Sus scrofa: one gene and its partner. The protein of the gene in region 2 purifies or fractionates together with the protein of the main gene of each other region. This does not show direct contact. Links are inferred from orthologs where the notes say so. Each region holds a gene or a part of one and is shown on either strand. Other genes may lie near its edges.

Region 1 (3,517 bases), on a different chromosome or scaffold from region 2:
CATGTAAACTTATAAAAACAGCCATATTTTTTGAAATGCATAGCCTAATTTATACATATGTGATACTAGGCAAAAAATAGATTTAATCTAATTATGTTAAACTTTTAGAATGTAGTCTCCATTTGCTATACTCACAGAAACTTCATCAGATAACCTCTAAGAATATTTGAATGCAGATTAGCATTATTGATCAGTGCAGTTGAGTGATAGAGCAACAAAGACATCAAATGGCCTGAGAATAAAATAAAATTATTTAAATGGATTAAATAAATTAGTGCCAAAATAACTTAGTACAGATGTTAAAAGACTAAGGAAAACCCAAGGAATCTCAGAAACCAACTTGTCTGAGAGAGAAATTCAGCTATGAAGAGACAGAAGGTTTGCAGACCACATCAAACAGGCTCATGGGGATGTCTACCATTCCTTTACATCGGCTTGAAAAGGCCTGAAGATGTCATTCTCACTTCCAGTCTGAGGAACTCCCAATACCAGGAGCCAGTGATCTTCCTTTACAGGATTATCAGATTTAATAGCTTCATTAATAAATAGTTGATTTAATGAATGTATGCCTGCACTTGTGGAGGAGGAAGTATTTTGAACAACTATTCAGGGATTAGAATGTGAAACCTTAATAGCTGGAATTTTTCTTTATTTCTAATTGCCAGAGAATATTTATGCACAGTGACTTGCCACTGTAGTTTCAAACACTCAGTGCTAAGTACTTAAAGCAGAGCATACTTTTCTTTTGTTGGCTACCTCAGAGATTAAACTCTGATAAGACTTGAGCTCTGTTATGTACAACTTCTCACAAATTTTAATATGTCTTTTCTAGTAAGCATTTTTTTTTTGGCAATATCTTATAGCTTTCACTCAAAACTAGATCATTCAGGACATGTATCTTTATGTAATATGATAGGAATGGATTTTAATGTCTCCTTATACTAGGTTCCTGTTGGTGTTCAAACAAACGATAAGTATGTGATCAATGGAAAAAACGCTAATGAAACAAGGCTCAAGATAATGCAACTTTCAGAGGAAGATCAGGGATCCTACTGGTGCCATGCAATATTCCAACTAGGCGAGAGTGAAGAACACATTGAACTTGTCGTGCTGAGTTATTTGGTACCCCTCAAAGCATTTCTTGCGATAGCTGCTGAGGTTGTTCTTTTAGTGGCTATTATTCTACTTTGTGAAATGTATACCCAAAAGAGAAAGAAGCCATCAGGTAGGATTTCTTTTTTTAGATAACATTCTCATGTTATGATTTAATACATTACAGTGACTCTAGAGTTTTTGGGAAAAATCTAACTTTTGTTATTTGTGGTGGTATTTATGTTAATATCAATGGTTACAGTGAGCTACGAGTTTATATTGATCTTCCTGTTTCAACTTCTTAAAAATTTTTAGTGTTAAAACATACCCTTTTTTTCCCCTTTGATGTTACTGGTACCAACACATCAATTAAGTAATACGTACTTCGGTACTGGAATGTTAGGAAATTCTGTAGAAGTTTATATAAAAGATCTCAAAAACAATTATTCTTTCACTTAACTCATTTTTTAACTCATTTTTTAAAAGTTTTATCAAATATTCTGGAGTTATATCCAGAATATCAAATATTCTGTCAGTTTTTTGTTTTCATAGCCTGTGCCTGATGGATTACAGGCTGAGAAACCAGTCATCCCCTAAGAAAATTCATCCTACATTCTTTTTTCCCTGATTTTATACTAAATTGTTAATAACCTAAATAATTACAAATCAGTCGATCCTGTTTTGGCAAACCCAGGCACAAAACTATGCTTGTTCAAAACTCCAGATAGTTTTGCAGTCGGGCGAGCAGGGAAGGAGGTGGACATGCTGGAGGCGCAGCCGTCTAAAGGAGCACGCCTCTCTCTGTCTCTCTCATTTCAGAGCAGGAAAACAGCACAGGCATTTGGGGGTGTTGAATTCAGGGGAAAGCTGATTTGAACATTTATGCTCCATTAAGAATAATAAACCAATCTTACTGGTTCAATTTTTCTTTTGTTACACAGATGATGGGAAAGAATTTGAACAAATTGAACAGCTGTAAGTATTATTTTTTTACAGTTTAATTTTCACTTAAGTAAAATACAGTTAAATATGAAATTAAATGTCTGCAGTTAGAGAAAAAAGAGTACAAAGTATGTGTGTTATCTTCTGTATATGTCCATGCTGTGGTAAAGAGTGGCATCTGGCATTCATCTGCTTGCAGTAGAATCCCCCTCCACCACTTACTTTCACTTGTCTGTGCTTCACTTTCCTCCTCAAAAAATGGGTTTAATAATGTTACTTACCACGTAAGTTTTTTGGATTAAATGACTTCCTGTATGTAAAAATGCTTAGCACAGGCTTGGATGCACAGAAGGCACTCAGTAAGCAAAAGAAAGTATTATTTGAGCAAAGTAATGATTCTCAACCCATCTATATTTTTGATTTTAAGGATGCTCTTTAAAAATACAGTTACTCAGGGAGTTCCCATTGTGGTTCAACGGATTATGAACCTGACTAGTATCCACGAGAATGTGGTTTGGATACCTGGCCTCGCCCAGTGGGTTAAGGATCCACTGCCGTGAGCTGTGGTGTGGGTCGCAGATGTGGCTCGGATCTGGTGTTGCTATGGCTGTGGTGTAGGCTAGCAGCTGCAGCTCCAATTCAAGCCCTAGCCTGGGAACTTCTATATGCTACAGGTGCAGCCGTGAAGAGCTAAAACAAAAACAAAAACAAAAAAACAGTTACTCAGATCTAACTAGATCTCTCAGATCAAAATGTCTGGAATTGGTGCCTGGTCATCTGTATTTCAGTGTCTATCACTGATTCTGATTCTCTATCATATTGAAAATTACTGAGATAGAATTCTATTATTATTTTTGAAAGAACATACACCGTGCCACTATTTCTCTTACAGTATCCTTTGTTTAGAGTTGAGCTGAACATGAAAAAAACTGGGAAGAAAATTATTAGGGATATCGTTTGGTTTGGTGAAGGTGGGAGTTGTTGGTTCTACCAAGCCAGAGAATTGAAAGTAGAGCCCACTGCAGGAGGTGCCCCCAAATGGGCTTAAAGTCCAAGTAACAGAACCAAGGGCTGTGGGCCAGAACATGAGATGATATTAAAGTATCCAAAAGAAACCTGGGAAATAGGTGCTCTGAACAACTCTTACCAACCCATGACACTTGAAGTTTATCTTCATTAGTCAACAGGGGCTTGCTCTGAGGTGTGAGTGCTATAGCCACAGTTCATGAGCCAGAGGGAGGCAGACAGTTGTCATGTAGATATTCATAAACATTAAATAGTTACTCATGGCAGGCAAAATATACCAACAGGATATGAGCTTCTAAATTAAGGGTATAAAATAATTGTATCAAGAGTTCCGTAACTCAAGAAAGGAAAAAAGTATTGTTTTAGAATCAGAGATTCTCATGATTGTAGGGGATTTGAACCTCTTTATGGAGAATGTGGACATCTTATTTATATTGATTTGAATGTTTTATCTTTC
Region 2 (4,095 bases):
ACAAAACTTGAGGAGAAAAAGTTATGCCTGCTCACAGAGCAGGGTGAGAAGCTAATGGCTGATTGTGGAAGGGTGAGGGGGGGGGGCGCGGGGATGGAAAGATAGCCTGGGTTGCCTTTGTGAACGGCCTTACACTCAAAGTAGAGGATTGTGGGCTTTTCCCTCCTTTAGCCATTGGAGAGCCAGCAAAGGTCATGTTGTCTTGTTAGGCTCATAGTTTTCACTGATCCAGAAGCTGTGTTTCTTTTATTTGCAGGAACTTTTTCAACAATTAGGAAACACTGCCACCATGTGGCTGCCAGGTGATGCATGCTCCAAACTGTAAGCCACAAATTTTCGGATATTAATAATTACACCAAAAAATACATCTCTTGATTCAAATAGCTGGAGTAAATCACTGGTAACCCCAATTCTAATGTAAAAAGAGTACTTTCAAAAAATCTTTTCAAGAAATCCGTCACGGGGTACAATTCTCTGATTTCTTACTTCGTTTTTAAAATTCTAATCTAAATCCTCATTGATTCTTAGGATCCTTTCTATTCCCAGTAACCCCTATCTCAGAATCACAAACTCACGGGCCTGGAAAGGCTCTACCATTCCCAGGTCAGCTTGGCATCAAACTGTCTCCAGGCCATTTCCCTCCGCGGTGGCAGATTCTACTTCAGTCCCCCGTCTGTTCTCCTTGTATGGTTCCTAGTTGGACAGACCCAAACTCAAATATTTCCACCATTTTTTTTTTTTAAGCTGGGTGATTTGGGGCAAGTGACCTAAGCTGCCTAAGCTTCAACTCGTTCATCTGTAAAATGGGGAGAAGCCTTTTCACAGGGTGACTGTAAAGATGAAAGATGGCATGTCCCTAACACATCACAAGGAAGTCCCTTTCTTTCCCCTCCGTCCTTGAGTGCATATATTGTTGAGGCCGCAGCACGCACTCGGTGGAGGTCTGTGATCTGAGGTTTACCTGGGTCTTCAGCACCGTCCCCAGGGAACGAAAATACTGGTCCCTTCATGCTTTGGGAGGATCACCGGTTTCCTTGCGTTGCCTACCGACCTTGGGCTGGCGATTGATCCATGGGTCTCCGGTGAGCGCAGCCGGCGACAGGTGCGTGAGCGTGGGCGGGGCTGGGGAGGCTTTCATTCCTCGCCCCACCCTTCCCCAGGGCTGGGGGGGGGCGGTGTAGGAGGATAATTCAATCCCCGTGGGACTAGGTGTCTGGCCTCACCCGTGGCTCCGCGGATTGGCTGTCTCCGCTCGCCCCCGCCCTCCGTACCCTCCCCAACCCCCCCCCCACGCCCCAGGTGGCCCAGGCCCCCAGTGGCAATCCCTGTTTACCCGGAGAGCCTGTGCAAGTTGGGCTCCATCTCGGCATTCTCTCCCCTCTGGGGCCCCGCCCGCCCGGAAAGCGGGGAGAAAACCGGGCCGAGCCATTCCTCGCCCTTCCCCTCCCCGCACCGCCGGGAGAGGTCGGGTAAGGGGGACCCATGTGTGTGTGGGGGGGGGAGTCTCAGGCCTGGGGGGGGGCGGTCCGGCTGTCACCCTGTACTCGCGCGGACCCGGGAGTTCTATCCCTAGGCCTAGCTCCCTCTCCTCCGCCCCGGTCCTGTTGTGCTCAGGGTGACGTGCCCACCCTGGGCAAACAGCCAGAGGCTGGACCTCAGGGATGCCCAGGTCCCTAGAGGAAGCACAGACGTGGAGGCTTGCCTCACAGGTATCTCCCCTCCTTCCCCCAGGCGGCGATGACCCCCAAGCCAGCCGGACCCCCGGACGGGGGCTGGGGCTGGGTGGTGGCGGCCGCAGCCTTCGTGGTGAATGGGCTCTCCTACGGGCTGTTACGCTCCCTGGGCCTCGCCCTCCCTGACCTCGCGGAGCATTTTGACCGAAGCGCTCAGGACACTGCGTGGGTCAGCGCCCTGGCCTTGGCGGTGCAGCAGGCAGCCAGTGAGGGGGGGGGGGCCCGAGGAGGGAGGCGGGAACTGGGGTGGGCGGGCCATGAGGGCAGTGGTGGGGGGCTCACCTGATGGATTACCAGACAATCTATTGGTGGAACTAAGTTCTAGAAGAAGAGTGGGTCTAGAGGGCAAGAGAAGGGGCTGCTAGACAGCGGGGGGGCGTTTAAGCCATGCAAACAGCCAATGAGAAGTGTTGGAGCGACTTTGGAGGCTCCGGGAGCGTGTCTTCCGTTGACCCCGCCCCCTTCTAGGCCCAGTGGGCAGCGCCCTGAGCACCCGCTGGGGGGCGCGCCCGGTTGTGATGGTTGGAGGCGTCCTCACCTCGCTCGGCTTCGTTTTCTCGGCTTTCGCCCGCAGTCTGCTGCACCTCTATCTTGGCCTGGGCGTCCTTGCTGGTGAGGGGGGAGGGACACCCGGGTTCTTAAGGGGTGATGGTGCAGAGCCCAGCTCGTTGGGGGCCAGAGGCCAAGGGGGCGGGGCCTCCTGCAACCAGCGGGGCCGGGACGGCGGGGGCGGGCGCTCCCGCTTCCTGCCCTCACCTGGTCCTATCCATTCGCAGGCGCCGGCTGGGCCCTGGTGTTCGCCCCTGCCCTTGGGACCCTCTCACGTTACTTCTCCCGCCGTCGAGTCTTGGCCGTGGGGCTGGCCCTCACGGGCAACGGGGCCTCCTCGCTGCTCCTGGCGCCCGCCTTGCAGCTCCTCCTGGATCATTTCGGCTGGCGGGGCGCCCTGCTCCTCCTCGGCGCCGTTACCCTCCACCTCACCCCCTGCGGCGCCCTGCTGCGACCCCTGGAGCTCCCAGGCGACCCCCCGACCCCACCCCGAAGCCCTCTGGCAGCCCTCGGCCTAGATCTCTTCACACGCCGGGTCTTCTTGGTTTTTGCTCTAGGCACGGCCTTGGTGGCGGGCGGGTACTTCATCCCCTACGTGCACTTGGCCCCTCACGCTTTAGATCGGGGTCTGGGCGGATACGGGGCAGCACTGGTGGTGGCGGTGGCCGCGGTGGGGGACGCGGGCGCCCGGCTGCTCAGCGGGTGGCTGGCGGACCAGGGTTGGGTGCCCCTCCCGCGTCTGCTGGCGATGTTCGGGGCTCTGACCGGGCTGGGGCTGCTGGCGGTGGGACTGGTGCCCGTGGTGGGGAGCGAGGAGGGCTGGGGAGGCCCCCTGTTGGCCGTGGCTGGGGCCTACGGGCTGAGCGCCGGAAGCTACGCCCCGCTGGTGTTCGGTGTGCTCCCGGGGCTGGTGGGCATCGGAGGTGTCGTCCAGGCCACCGGGCTGGTGATGATGCTGATGAGCCTCGGGGGGCTTCTGGGCCCTCCCCTGTCAGGTAAGGGCCTGAGCCAGCAGATCCATTCGCATCCCTCCTCTGCACCTGCGGTCCGAGGCCTCTGACGTCCTTTCCCCCTCCGCTCCAGGCTTCCTAAGGGATGAAACAGGAGACTTCACCGCCTCCTTCCTCGTGTGCGGCTCTTTCATCCTCTCGGGCAGCTTCGTCTACATGGGGCTGCCCAGAGCGCTGCCCTCCTGCCGTCCAGCCTCGCGTCCAGCCACCCCTCCCCCGGAGAGGGGGGAGCTGCTCCCCGCCCCTCAGGTGGCCCTGCTCTCCCCAGGAGGCCCTCGCTCCACGCTGGACACCACTTGTTGACCATTTTCTTGTTGGAGCCCCTCCCCCAATAAAGACTTTATGATTTTTCCTGCAAACTCCAATTGTTAGGCAATCTAGGATGCTGGAAACGCTCGACTTAAGATATCCATAAACACTGGTTCAGAGGAAGAGGATCCCGCTAAGCCCCAGAAGGCAGGAAGGGTGTTTGTTCAGGCAGTCCATTTCTCTTTGCCCATTACAGCAGGAAATCTTTGAGAAATCGTTTGCTTCCTCGCAGCTTCAGCTGGTTGGGGGGGGTGAGAGGGGGTGGTGTGCTCCCGGGTGCTAGCTGCCCCATTCTCATTTCCCAGATAACTTTTTCCTGCATGTCAACCTCCTTCCACTGGCCTGAGGGAAATATAAGAATCCCAGACCTGTGGAGTTCCCTCGCAGCACAGTGGGTTAAGGATCCAGTGTTGCCACTGCCGAGGCTCTGGTCACTGCTGTGGCACGGGTTCTATCCCTGCCCAGGAACTTCCACATGTCACAGGAGCAGAAAA

Evidence for each region. The genes of interacting proteins can lie anywhere in the genome.
Region 1: the proteins of SLC16A11 (region 2) and EMB purify together in Homo sapiens (co-immunoprecipitation; 3 studies listed by BioGRID and IntAct, counting the BioPlex papers as one, with this or other methods). This does not show direct contact. The link is inferred for Sus scrofa from reciprocal best matches to the Homo sapiens genes SLC16A11 and EMB.

What each region holds. Positions count from the first base shown.
Region 1 is NC_010458.4:30,128,992-30,132,508, reverse strand, and holds part of EMB (embigin), read left to right. Parts: intron 1-945; coding exon 946-1,225; intron 1,226-2,033; coding exon 2,034-2,067; intron 2,068-3,517. UniProt on the Homo sapiens protein: Plays a role in the outgrowth of motoneurons and in the formation of neuromuscular junctions.
Region 2 is NC_010454.4:52,439,666-52,443,760, reverse strand, and holds the start of SLC16A11 (monocarboxylate transporter 11), read left to right. Parts: upstream 1-1,284; 5' UTR 1,285-1,469; intron 1,470-1,731; 5' UTR 1,732-1,737; coding exon 1,738-1,939; intron 1,940-2,201; coding exon 2,202-2,345; intron 2,346-2,509; coding exon 2,510-3,277; intron 3,278-3,365; coding exon 3,366-3,595; 3' UTR 3,596-4,095. UniProt on the Homo sapiens protein: Proton-linked monocarboxylate transporter. It catalyzes the transport of pyruvate across the plasma membrane.